Linked DNA regions of Mus musculus: region 1 is reported to be linked to region 2. Evidence: microRNA targets listed by miRTarBase, many of them from high-throughput screens and not tested one by one. Region 2 holds a microRNA gene; the other region holds the end of a gene's coding sequence.

Evidence for each region. Region 2 holds the annotated microRNA mmu-miR-466p-3p (AUACAUACACGCACACAUAAGA, at 2,375-2,396, opposite strand). A microRNA usually pairs through its seed, bases 2 to 8, with sites in the 3' UTR of a target mRNA and lowers its output. Matches are read on the target gene's strand: a 7mer-m8 pairs with bases 2 to 8, a 7mer-A1 pairs with bases 2 to 7 and ends in A, and an 8mer does both.
Region 1: miRTarBase lists Acot11 as a target of mmu-miR-466p-3p. Seed matches in the 3' UTR shown: 7mer-m8 at 4,007-4,013.

What each region holds. Positions count from the first base shown.
Region 1 is chr4:106,742,510-106,749,658 of GRCm38, forward strand. Acot11 (acyl-CoA thioesterase 11) reads right to left here. Exons shown (of 16, transcript NM_025590.4): 15 at 6,753-6,879; 16 at 2,052-5,975. The coding sequence ends at 5,820. Fam151a (family with sequence simliarity 151, member A) reads left to right here. Exons shown (of 8, transcript NM_146149.1): 4 at 688-847; 5 at 2,964-3,188; 6 at 3,547-3,686; 7 at 4,464-4,607; 8 at 5,030-5,783. The coding sequence ends at 5,760. Among named protein-coding and RNA genes, the nearest start is that of Fam151a, 12 kb to the left of the region's middle.
Region 2 is chr2:10,491,672-10,498,715 of GRCm38, reverse strand. It overlaps Mir466b-7 (microRNA 466b-7), which reads right to left and starts at 2,448; the gene lies at 2,361-2,448. All of the region lies in intron 10 of Sfmbt2 (Scm-like with four mbt domains 2), which reads right to left. Mir467a-7 (microRNA 467a-7) reads right to left here and starts at 5,206; the gene lies at 5,124-5,206. It overlaps Mir466b-6 (microRNA 466b-6), which reads right to left and starts at 4,918; the gene lies at 4,829-4,918. It also overlaps Mir669a-9, Mir467a-8, Mir669p-2, Mir467a-9 and Mir466b-2.

The DNA of each region.
Region 1 (7,149 bases), not on the chromosome of region 2:
GCAAATAAACTGCAAAGAGGCAGACAGGGTCAAAATGTCCCTCGTGGGTCAGCAGAACTGTGTTCTGAGCCAAAACCTGCTCCCTCCAACTCCCCTTTCCAGTCTGGGTCTAGGCCTTGCCCACCTTGCCCCAAACCACATGCTCCCTCATTTTCCTCATCTGCCCAGTAGCTGCCCCTCCCGGCTGTAACTCCAGTCACAGCCACATCATTTTTCACACGTGCAGCCTCATCTAACTGCCACACACACCCATGACTCTTCTGTTTAAACCCTCCCTCCATGGATCCCCTTGGCCTGGCTTGGCTTTCAGGATCTCTACCTTGGAAACTTCATCTCTTGTCTCCACAGTTAGATGGGCATTCATTCACACTGGTTCCCTTTTCTATCTAGTCAACCTCTCGGACATCCCTTCTTGGGGGCCTACTGGACTTCAGAAACTGAAGGCCTTTTCTATGTCTGAGTCTCCCTGTACCAGCCCATGCCTTCAACTAGCTTTTGCTTCTGCCCATCTGGGAAGAAAAGGGGGAGGCCTTCTTCTCAGTGTTGGCTCTCTCTGCCTCAGAGCTGTCCCCTGCAGCCCATCTCCATCTGCCCCCCTCTTCCCACTCTTTCCCAAGACCCTCCTGCCCTTCCCTGCTCTTTCTACTGAGTAAGTCCAGTTCCCCAGTCCTCACCCCTTTCCTGCAGGCATCAAACTGGACTTCAAGAGTCTCAAGGCTGTAGGCCCCTCCCTGGACCTCCTTCGGCAGCTGACTGAGGCTGGCAGGATTCGGAGACCAGTGTGGATCAATGCTGACATCCTGAGGGGCCCCAATGTGCCCATCTCAATTGAGATCAATGCTACCCAGTAAGTGTTCACCCTCTCCCCAGCTGAGTCCAGCCCTCTTCTGTCATCACTGAGCATAAAAAGGGACCTTGGGGGACCTTTGTGGCATTTGCCAGTCGCACCGTGAGACCTCACCTCTGAGCCTGCTCGTTTTGTTTTGGGCATTGATGCCGCCTGTGTGCTGCCGTGATAGTGTAGAAGTCAGAGATTAAGGACTTGGTTTTCTCTTTTCAGCATGTGGGTCCCGGGGCTTGAACTCAGGTTATGGGTCTCAGTGGCAAGCACCTTTTACCTGCTGAGCCTTCTCACCAACCACTTCTGCATTCGCATGCACTGTTCCCTCCTATCTTGGATGCCTGCTCCCTTTATGAGTGTGTGTTTAATGATTTATTTATCTTATGGACATTTGTGGGGTTTGCCTGTATGTACGTCTGTGTGAGGGTGTTGGATCCCTGAAAGTGGAGTCACAGAGAGCTGTGAGCTGCCATGTGGATGCTGAGAATTGAACCTGGGTCCTTGGAAGAACAGCCAGTGCTCTTAACCTCTGAGCCATCTCTCCAGCCCCATTCCTTTATGTGTTTTTTAGACACGGTTTATGTAGATCATGCTGGCCTCATACTTTCGGGGATCCTCTAGCTTTTGTCTCCTGGTACCAGATTTAGTTATAGGCCACTACTGTCTCTTGGTTTTGTGGTGGTGGTGGTTGGTGGTGGTGGTTGTTTTTTGCTTTGATTTGTTTACCTCTTTTGTTGGGGAGAGGATGAGACAAGTTCTCATGTAGCCCTACATAGCCTTGAACTCTGCATGCATGCGGTTCCTGCTGGACTTGAACTCTTGATCCTTTGTCCCCATCTCTGCTACACTTGGTGTACATCAGCATTCTGAATCCCCCCCACACACACACACTTGCTCTATTGAGTCTTTCCCCAGTCCCTGCCACTTCCAGAAGTGTCTCTAGCACCCCAGGTTCCTGAAGATCAGGTCCCCTCATGCCTGACTCAGTTGGACCATTTCTGCTGACTTACGTGTTAGTTACCCTTGCTCCATTGTGACCACATCCTCTCTGTCTCCCCAGTGACATGCACAGGACTTGGCCTGCTAGAAAGTTATAAAGCGATGCCTCCCCCGCCCCTCCAGTTCTCCAAAAGACCCAGCCCCTGACAGGCTAGGATATTTTTTTTCTCCCCATGTGAAAATTCACAATGACAGAAACATGCTGTTGAGTGGTTAGTGTACCCCAGGCACGGTTTCAAGCATTTTATTTGCAGAATACAGCTGAACTCTTAAGAGAATGAGGTAGCAACTAGTCATATTCATCTTGTAAGTATAGAAACTATCTTTGAAAGGTTAAATGAATGGTCTAAGTCTACAAAACGGCAGAGCAAAGGTTCCCACAGGTCTTTCCGTCCTCGAGTTTTGTGCTCTGCAGACACCTCCATCTGCCCGGCCAACATTTACTGATTCTCAAAATGAGTTATATTTGGAAAATGTAGGCTAGGGCCCAAGACAAACAAGGATTCTCTCCTCAGGGTACTGAGTTATATATCTGGGGGCCGAGCAGTGGGTGACATTAATTTCCTATTGAAAATTTGCATCAGAACAAAATTCAAATAACTCTTTTCAATGTGTTGCTTTGTGGCAGTTTCATGTAGCCTAGGCTAGCCCTGCACTTGCTATGTATCTGGGGATGAAGGAAGCCCTGAACCTCCTGCCTCCCACCCCCCAAGTGCTGAGATTATAGACATGTGGCACAGGCTCTTCTCATATGAAAAAAAAAATTAGGAATCTGAAACTTTGGAGACTCGAAGCCATCTGTCAGCATGCAGATCTGCACACCTTACAAGTCTCACTCAAGCCCCTCTGTCGATGTGGGGATGTTTAAAAGGCCCTGCCCTGACAGTCACTATCTTTGAGAATCAGATGGATCACCAGATGCAGAGTAGAGACCGGATCCCAGACCTCTCTGACTGCACAGGGTGGTGATATCAGCAGGAGGATGTACAAATCACTGCTGCTCTTTAGGGCTCTGATGTCAATCTCCAAGCTGAGTCTCAATAGGCCTGACTGTTCCTGTCGCTGTGGCAAGAGCCTACAAGAAGGGAAAGATGGGTATCTCTGCTCTGGTCTCTCTCTGCAGGTTTCTGACTCTTGTCCAGGAGAAATATCCAAAGGCCACCATTTCTCCAGGCTTTACCACTCTTTATGTGCCTCAGTTGCCAAACAGCACATACACCCAAGCCATGGTGGAAACAATGCAGGAGCTGGTCGGAGCGCTGCCACAGAAGGTCACCTTCCCAGTGAGAGCTGTCATGACACGGGCTGCTTGGCCCCACTTCAGCTGGCTTCTGAGCCAATCTGAGAGGTGAAACCCCTCTACTGGTCCCAAACCTATCCTGGGCTCTGCCCCAAGATGAACACGTCAAGAGGGGTCCTAAAGATCATCTTGTCCCAGTCCCACTGCCCTAACGACCTCCTATGCTCGGCCTCTGGCTTGTACTCTTCTGGGCACTGGCTGGTCACTGCTTCCATTGGTGGGTAACTCAGAAACAGACATCCCAGGGGTGCACATCCTCCTGCCCTCTGAACCTCCGCTCTCCATCATCCTCTGGTGGGAATCTAGAGAACAGATGCTCCACTCCTGGGCTCAGCTGGCATTCAGTTCTGAGCGCACAAGTAGAGCCAAGAGTCAGGCGGGCCCTGAGTCAGCTCTCTGGTTCCAGGTACAGCCTAACACTGTGGCAGGGTGCCTCAGACCCCGTGTCAGTAGAAGATCTCCTCTTCATCCGGGACAACAGTGCCGCTCACCAAATCTACTATGACCTCTTTGAGCCTGTCTTGTCGCAGTTTAAGCAGCTGGCCTGTAAGAAGGGAGCCTGGGAGGGGAATTGTGGGCTGTGTTCTGCTCAGGGCAGCCTTGGGTGGGCATGGAAGCGGAGAAAGGGTGGTCTAGATGGGGAAAATTCTGCGTGGAACAGGAGACAGGAGCTATTCTGAGAATTTGTCTTCTGCCCCTGGGATATTATGTTATCCAAGCGATGTCCTCAGAACAGGAGTCTGGTTGATAGAGAGGGCAATGGAAGTCCAAAACCACAAGGATTTTGTAGGAGTGCAATCTGATCACAACCTAGCCAAGTCTCACACACACACATACACACACACACACACACACACACACACACATACATACACACACATACACACACACATGCACGCACTCGAGTGCCCTGGCTTCCACAGCACCATTCACCTTTGGCAATAGGGTCTCAAGCACAGCCCTCTTACGTGCCCACTAGTTCATGAGCCAGATGCCACTATGCCCTGTTCTCTTGACCCTGTGTCTAGGGGCATCTACACTTAAGTCATCCCAAGGAGTCACATCAGATTCCACTCCTATTGAGGGAGTTGTGCCTGGGAAAGGGAGGAGACAAGCTTTGGAGCCCCCTCCCCTCATCTCTAGCTCTGTTTGGTTTCTGGCCCAGTAAATTCTGTTGAATGTCAGGCCATGAGACAATGACTTCCAATCTACCCAAAAGGGAGAAGTGACAGCCACAGGGCTTAGGATGCGGGAGAGCCAGTGCATACACAAGGCAATTTGTGGAGAGTGGTCCCTTCACATTGGCAATTTTGGGTCCCACAGTGAACACCACCCGGAAGCGAACCTACTACACAGGTGGCAGCCTGATCCCTCTTCTCCAGCAGCCCAAGGGTGATGGTCTGGAGGTAGAGTGGCTAGTTCTGGAAGTGAATGGCAGTGGGAGAAGAGCAGCCATTACAGTTCCTGGTGAGTCTGCCTGCAGCTCTAAAGCTCCTGGCTACCCTCACCCACAGGTCTGTCATTTGCTTGGGTGGGTAACTTGATTCTCTGTTACCATGGCAACACAATAAGCCACACACTGGATACAAAGTGGGAGGAATAATGTCAAGAGCAGGAACTCCTGGTCTTCACAGCCTTGAGTCCTCAGCCACACTGTGACTAGAGGAGTGGGGAGTGATTAGGAAGGCCAAGAATGGAGGCCAGCAATTTGTCATGCCTGCCTGAGAGTCACCAGTCACAGCACTTGGAGCCTGGGATGGAGCTGGCAAACTCAAGAATGGCTGGTGCCTCTTGATCTATCCCCATGACATGCCCCCATGTATGTCCCCTTTAACAAAAAACACTGACGTCCCATGATGACAGGATCTCCAAACTGTTGCCTCTTCCAGACAGAGAAGGCATGATCTTGCTGGACATTGGCCTCCAGGAACCTGAGGCTGGGAACCCTGTACCCATCCTACACACCCCAGGTGGCCCTGCTCTGACACTGGAGTCGTGTCTGCTGCGTCTGGCTGTTCACCCCAGGCGCTGGGGCATCCATGTGAACATAGTGGAACCCGAAGCTCTCCGGCCATCCCTGGCCACGTTAGCACACCTTTCTACCCTTGGCCATCTGCCCTGGCCTGTGTGGGTGGGGTCCACAGTCTCACATGGTAGTTTTGTGGTCCCTGGCCACATAGCTGGCAGAGAGCTGCTCACAGCTGTGGCTGAAGTCTTCCCCCATGTGACCGTGGCACCGGGCTGGCCCGAAGAGATGCTGGACAGTGGTTATCAGGAGCAGATGGTCACAGATATGCTGGAGCTGTGTCAGGGACTCCGGCAACCTGTGTCCTTCCAGCTGCAGGCTGGGCCACTGAGTCAGAGTCCAGCCAACACTGTGGCCAGGCTCCTGGCCTCCTCCCCTAGAGCCACTGTCACAGTGTACCACAGCACTGCTGGGAACAGCCATGTGGATTTGTGGGCTGGATTGTGGGCGGCCAGGGCCGTGGACAGGACCCGAGTCTATTACAGGATATCCCAGGAGTACTGGAAAGACTTGCAGGCAGATGTGAGCAGCAACCGACCATCCAGTAGGATTGGACCATCTAGTGTGGAAGGCTTCCCTGGGGAGTCAAGGTGAATAAATGTCTCTGCTTTGTTCCACGCACTGTGTAAGACCTGGGGCAGCATGGGTGGTGTCTAGAGGGTCTGGAGGCTGGGAGCTAGGTCATTCCGGTTGTCCAACAGAAAACTCTCACAAGCCTTGAAAGTGTTGTAGAATTCTGAGGACAGGCCGGACACATTGGTGGTCACATAGTTGAGAAAGCCGGGGGTGGCCTGGTTGTAGTAAGAAACCTGCAGGACAGGAAGTCAAGTTCAAGGAGGCATAATGGGGAGGTGAGAGTCAGCAGCCTTGCTTGCCTTCTGGGGAAGCAACAGATACAACCTTGTATCTTGATCAGTTAGAAAACCTGAGTGATAGACCTAGCCTCTTTTGATAGGTCCCCCAGATACACAGGGAACTTCAACTCTGACTGCCCTATCACAGCAAACCATAAGGTCACTGTACACCTCCCTGCTGACTAGGTGGCCCCAAGGGGACAGGAATTGACTCTAATACCTACACCTGAATCCACTTTATAACAGTGCTGGGAGGGTGGGGTGTCACAGAAACGTGGTAGACATAAGCCTTGGACTATGTCCTTTGTGTAGGTCCTTAGCAATGCTGGCCGAGTCAGCACCTGGGCAAGGCTGCAAGGAAAACTGCATGCCAGGGGAACTGCAGCATACCTGCCCCCAGCTCTGCTCTACCTTTCCAATTAACTCTGACTCCCCTGCTGAGCCTTCTATGCCCTCAAAGCCACATAAAGCCCTCCCAGACGAAAAGGGAGACACATTAAACAAACAATGGCAGAATTTTAGATCAGAGCTGGGCTTTCTGTAGTGTGTCCAGAGCTTTTCCCAAGCCCCAATAGCAGTTTGCTCTCTGACCACACTCAAGCTCCAGACGAGCTCCTTTCAGACTGCAAAGTCTGGGGGGTCATGGGGGTTCGGGTCTGGAAGGGCCCAGCCGAACAGCGTAGAGTTCAGTTTATCCATAGGTGGAAGTATAGAGGGGACATCACGTCTTACCTTAGTCATCTGGTCCCCCTCACGCCACAGACAGAAGCCTGAACAGAGAGTCTCCCCACGTTGGTATTCCGGTGTCTCATGGTGCGTGGGCAGCGTGACCGACCTCAGGGCAATGACATAGGGGTCCCTGGAAGAGAGGCAGAGTTAGAAGGGATCAGAGATCATCCAGAGGAGGATGCCTTGCTGGGGGTCAGCTGTAGGAAGGGGACATCTGTGTTAGCAGCATCAGGTTCAGGCTCCCTGTGAACCCATGGACTGTGTACCTTGGGGTTTTCATTCTTCTGGCCTTTGTCTCCAGAAAAAAAGATGCAGTCTACCCTGGCTGCGCCCATGTCTCAGGTAACAGCCACAAGCTTCCAGAGGGCAGAGACCAAGGGATACCCATGGGAAAGGCACT
Region 2 (7,044 bases):
ATGTACATGTACACACACATCAACACATACACACATACATAGGGGCAATCACATGAATGCCAGGATGACCTCTAACTCATCATGCCTTTACCATGAACTTGCACTCCTGATCTTCCCGACTCTACCAAGGGTTTTCCCGTGGTTTGTGAGACCTCACCCTGGCCCAGTCATACATAACCTCCAAAGCAGTAGGTCACATTTCATTCAAATGGATCCGTGAGGGCCATTCCCGCATGTCTGTGTGCATGTGTGTGTAGGTGTGTGTATGTATATGCATAAAATATACACGCATATACATGCAGGCACTTACGCACACAGGCACATACATAGGGGCCATCACATTAGTCCAGGATGATCTCTAACTGCTCATGAAGTTAAGCATGAAATTGAACTCCTGATCCTCCTGACACTGACAATTGTTTACACCTGGTGAGTGAGACCTTCACTGTCCTTCTACTTTATAATCAGCAAAATTCTAAGACATATATCATTCAAATGGATCAAAGAGTGTCATTCTTATGTGTGTGAGTGTGCATGCCTGTGTGTGTGAATACATTTGTATGTGTGTGTATTTATAAGTATGATCATATACACACATGTACGTGCACACACAATTATATGCACTTGTGCATACCTAGGGTCCATCACACAAAAACAGGGTGATCTCTAACTCATTATGAAGTTAAGCATGAATTTGAACTCCTGAGACTCCTAACTCTGGCAAGTGGTTTTCATCTGATAAGTGAGATTATTCACTATACCATGAATATACACTCAATGAAACTCTAAGCACGTATAAATCAAATGGATGACTGCCATGTGTGTTTGTGTGCACATATATGTGTCCCTAGTTGTGTGTATATATACATATGCATGTTCATATACGCGCATGTACAGGCATACTTCCCTATACACATAAACACAAACACAGGGAAAATCACATGAATTCCCGGCTGATCTCTAACTCATCATAAAGTTAAACATGAATTTGAACTACTCATCCTCATGATGCTGGCAAGAGTATTCACCTCCTAACTGATTAATAGCTCGGGCCATTCATGGGAGTATGTTTGCGTGTGAGTATATGCATATTCATATACAGAAGTGATTATGTACACAACTATACACACATGCACATTCTTGGTGGGCATCACATGAATCGCATGCTGAACTCTAACTCATCATGAAGTTAAACATGAATTTGAACTCCTCATCCTCCTGACACTGGCAAGAGTACTCACCTCCTGAGACATAGCTCTGGCCATTCCTATGAATGTGTGTGCATGTGTGTATATGCATATTCATATAGAGAAGTGAATATGCAGACAACTATACACACATGCACATTTTTGGTGGGCATAAGATGAATCCCATGCTGATCATGAACTCATCATGAAATTCAGCACAAATTTGAACTCCTGATCCACCTGACTCTGTCAAGGGACTTCACCTGCTGAGTGAGACCTCTCCCCATTCAGTAATGAGGAATCTTAAAACTCTAAGTCACACGTCATTCAAATGGATCGATGAGTTGCACTGATGTTTGTGTGTGTGTTTCTGTTTGTGTCTGTGTACATGTATATATTTGTGTAGATAGGAACATACATATACTCAAATCCACACAAAATATAAACAGATACAGATAGGGATACATAGGGGGCATCACATGAATCCCAGGCATATCTCTAAGTCATCATGAAGTAAAGCATGAATTAGAACTCCTGATCCACAATCTTTCACACCTGGTGAGTAAAACCGTTCACTGTCCCAGTACTGCATAATCTTTAAAACTTTAAGTCGCATATCATTCAAACGTATAAATGAATGCAATTTTTTTCTCTGTGTCTGTGCTTTCATATACACGTTTGTTTATGTTTTGTATATCATGTCAACAGATGCAATGCATATACAAGTAAACACATATGCACATACATGGATGGCCTCACATGAATACCAGGATGATCTCTAACTGAATTAAGCATGAAGTTGAAATCCTTATCCTCCTGACTTTGTCAATCTTTTACACCTGGTGGGTGAGACCATTCAATGTCCCCTATTGCATAATCTCTAAAACTCTACATCACTTATCATTCAAAGGGATTGGCGAATGCCATTCCTGTGTCTGTGTATGTGTGCTTGCGTTTATACGTGTGTGTGTGTATGTTATGTATATTCAAATATAGACATGAACATGCACACACAACTATACACACATGCACATACATGGAGGAATCACAGGCTGATCTCTCATGAGGATAAGTATGAATTTGAACTCCTGATACTCTTAACTCTAGCAAGCATTTTCACTCTAAGTCACTTATCACGCAAATGGATTGATGAGTGCCATTCCCATGTGTCTGTGTGCTCATATGTGTCTTATGTGTGCGTGTATGTATATGTATATCATATTCACACATGTACATGTACACACACATCAACACATACACATATTCATAGGGGCAATCACATGAATGCCAGGATGACCTCTAACTCATCATGCCTTTACCATGAACTTGCACTCCTGATCTTCCCGACTCTACCAAGGGTTTCCCGTGGTTTGTGAGACCTCACCCTGGCCAGTCATACATAACCTCCAAAGCAGTAGGTCACATATCATTCAAATGGATCCGTGAGGGCCATTCCCGCATGTCTGTGTGCATGTGTGTGTAGGTGTGTGTATGTATATGCATAAAATATACACGCATATACATGCAGGCACTTACGCACACAGGCACATACATAGGGGCCATCACATTATTCCAGGATGATCTCTAACTGCTCATGAAGTTAAGCATGAAATTGAACTCCTGATCCTCCTGACACTGTCAATTGTTTACACCTGGTGAGTGAGACCTTCACTGTCCTACTTTATAATCAGCAAAATTCTAAGACATATATCATTCAAATGGATCAATGAGTGTCATTCTTATTTGTGTGAGTGTGCATGCCTGTGTGTGTGACTACATTTGTATGTGTGTGTATTTATATGTATGATCATATAAACACATGTACGTGCACACAAAATTATATGCACTTGTGCATACCTAGGGTCCATCACACAAAAACAGGGTGATCTCTCACTCATTATGAAGTTAAGCATGAATTTGAACTCCTGAGACTCCTAACTCTGGCAAGTGGTTTTCATCTGATAAGAGAGATTTTTCCCTATACCATGAATATACACTCAATGAAACTCTAAGCACGTATAAATCAAAAGGATGACTGCCATGTGTGTTTGTGTGCACATGTATGTTTCCCTAGTTGTGTGTGTGTGTGTGTGTGTGTATATATATATATATATATATATATATATATATACATATATATATATATATATATGCATGTTCATATACGCGCATGTACACGCACACTTCACCTATACACATAAACACAAACACAGGGAAAATCACATGAATTCCGGGCTGATCTCTAACTCATCATAAAGTTAAACATGAATTTGAATTGCTCATCCTCATGATGCTGGCAAGAGTATTCACCTCCTAACTAAGTCATAGCTCGGGCCATTCGTGGGAGTATGTTTGCATGTGAGTATATGCATATTCATGTACAGAAGTGAATATGTACTCAACTATACACACATGCACATTCTTGGTGGGCATCACATGAATCGCATGCTGAACTCTAACTCATCATGAAGTTAAACATAAATTTGAATTCCTCATCCTGACACTGACAAGAGTGCTCACCTCCTAACTGAGACATAGCTCTGGCCATTCCTATGAATGTGTGTGCATGTGTGTATATGCATATTCATATAGAGAAGTGAATATGCACACAACTATACACACATGCACATTTTTGGTGGGCATAAGATGAATCCCATGCTGATCATGAACTCATCACAAAATTCAGCACGAATTTGAACTCCTGATCCACCTGACTCTGTCAAGGGATTTCTCCTGCTGAGTGAGACCTCTCCCCATTCAGTAATGAGGAATCTTAAAACTCTAAGTCACATATCATTCAAATGGATCGATGAGTTGCATTCATGTTTGTGTGTGTGTTACTGTTTGTGTCTGTGTACATGTATATATTTGTGTAGATAGGTACATCCATATACTCAAATCCACACACAATAGAAACAGATACAGATAGGGATACATAGGGGGCATCACATGAATCCCAGGCATATCTCTAAGTCATCATGAAGTAAAGCATGAATTAGAACTCCTGATCCACAATCTTTCACACCTGGTGAGTAAAACCATTCACTGTCCCACTACTGCATAATCTTGAAAACTTTAAGTCACGTATCATTCAAACGTATAAATGAATGCAATTTTTTCCTGTGTGTGTGTGCTTGCATATACACGTGTGTTTATGTTATGTATATCATGTCAACACATACAATGCACATACAAGTAAGCACACATGCACATACATGGGTTGCATGACATTAATACCAAGATGTCTCCAAATGAAGTTAAGCATGAATTTGCAATCCTTATCCTCCTGACTTTGTCAATCGTTTACACCTGGTGAGTGAGGACATTCAATGCCCCCTATTGCATAATCTCTAAAACTCTACATCACTTATCATTCAAAGGGATTGGCGAATGCCATTCCTGTGTCTGTGTATGTGTGCTTGCGTTTATACGTGTGTGTGTATGTTATGTATATTCAAATATAGACATGAACATGCACACACAACTATACACACATGCACATACATGGAGGAATCACAGGCTGATCTCTCATGAGGATAAGTATGAATTTGAACTCCTGATACTCTTAACTCTAGCAAGCATTTTCACTCTAAGTCACTTATCACTCAAATGGATTGATGAGTGCCATTCCCATGTGTCTGTGTGCTCATATGTGTCTTATGTGTGCGTGTATGTATATGTATATCATATTCACACATGTACATGTACACACACATCAACACATACACACATACATAGGGGCAATCACATGAATGCCAGGATGACCTCTAACTCATCATGCCTTTACCATGAACTTGCACTCCTGATCTTCTCGAATCTACCAAGGGTTTTCCTGTGGTTTGTGAGACCTCACCCTGGCCCAGTCATACATAACCTCCAAAGCAGTAGGTCACATTTCATTCAAATGGATCCGTGAGGGCCATTCCCGCATGTCTGTGTGCATGTGTGTGTAGGTGTGTGTATGTATATGCATAAAATATACACGCATATACATGCAGGCACTTACGCACACAGGCACATACATAGGGGCCATCACATTATTCCAGGATGATCTCTAACTGCTCATGAAGTTAAGCATGAAATTGAACTCCTGATCCTCCTGACACTGACAATTGTTTACACCTGGTGAGTGAGAATATTCACTGTCCCTCTACTTTATAATCAGCAAAATTCTAAGACATAAATCATTCAAATGGATCAATGAGTGTCATTCTTATGTGTGTGAGTGTGCATGCCTGTGTGTGTGAATACATTTGTATGTGTGTGTATTTATATGTATGATCATATACACACATGTACGTGCACACACAATTATATGCACTTGTGCATACCTAGGATCCATCACACAAATACAGGGTGATCTCTAACTCATTATGAAGTTAAGCATGAATTTGAACTCCTGAGACTTTTAACTCTGGCAAGTGGTTTTCATCTGATAAGTGACATTATTCCCTATACCATGAATATACACTCAATGAAACTCTAAGCACGTATAAATCAAATGGATGACTGCCATGTGTGTTTGTGTGCACATGAATGTGTCCCTAGTTGTGTGGGTGTATATATATATATATATATATATATATATATATATATATATATATATATATATGCATGTTCATATACGCGCATGTACAGGCATACTTCCCTATACACATAAACACAAACACAGGGAAAATCACATGAATTCCGGGCTGATCTCTAACTCATCATAAAGTTAAACATGAATTTGAACTGCTCATCCTCATGATGCTGGCAAGAGTATTCACCTCCTAACTGAGTCATAGCACGGGCCATTCGTGGGAGTATGTTTGCATGTGAGTATATGCATATTCATATACAGAAGTGAATATGTACACAACTATACACACCTGCACATTCTTGGTGGGCATCACATGAATCGCATGCTGAACTCTAACTCATCATGAAGTTAAACATGAATTTGAACTCCTCATCCTCCTGACACTGGCAAGAGTGCTCACCTCCTAACTGAGACATAGCTCTGGCCATTCCTATGAATGTGTGTGCATGTGTGTATATGCATATTCATATAGAGAAGTGAATATGCACACAACTATACACACATGTACATTTTGGTGGGCATAATATGAATCCCATGCTGATCATGAACTCATCATGAAATTCAGCACGAACTTGAACTCCTGATCCACCTGACTCTGTCAAGGGATTTCACCTACTGAGTGAGACCTCTCCCCATTCAGTACTGAAAAATCTTAAAACTCTAAGTCACATGTCATTCAAATGGATCGATGAGTTGCACTGATGTTTTTGTGTGTGTTTCTGTTTGTGTCTGTGTACATGTACATATTTGTGTAGATAGGTACATCCATATACTCAAATCCACACACAATAGAAACAGATACAGATAGGGATACATAGGGGACATCACATGAATCCCAGGCATATCTCTAAGTCATCATGAAGTAAAGCATGAATTAGAACTCCTGATCCACAATCTTTCACACCTGATGAGTAAAACCATTCACTGTCCCACTACTTCATAATCTTGAAAACTTTGAGTCACATGTCATTCAAACGTATAAATGAATGCAATTTTTTCCTGTGTGTGTGTGCTTGCATAAACACGTGTGTTTATGTTATGTATATCATGTCAACACATACAATGCACATACAAGTAAGCACACATGCACATACATGGGTTGCATGACATTAATACCAAGATGATCTCCAAATGAAGTTAAGCATGAATTTGCAATCCTTATCCTCCTGACTTTGTCAATCTTTTACACCTGGTGAGTGAGTCCATTCAATGTCCCCTATTGCATAATCTCTAAAACTCTACATCACTTATCATTCAAAGGGATTGGCGAATGCC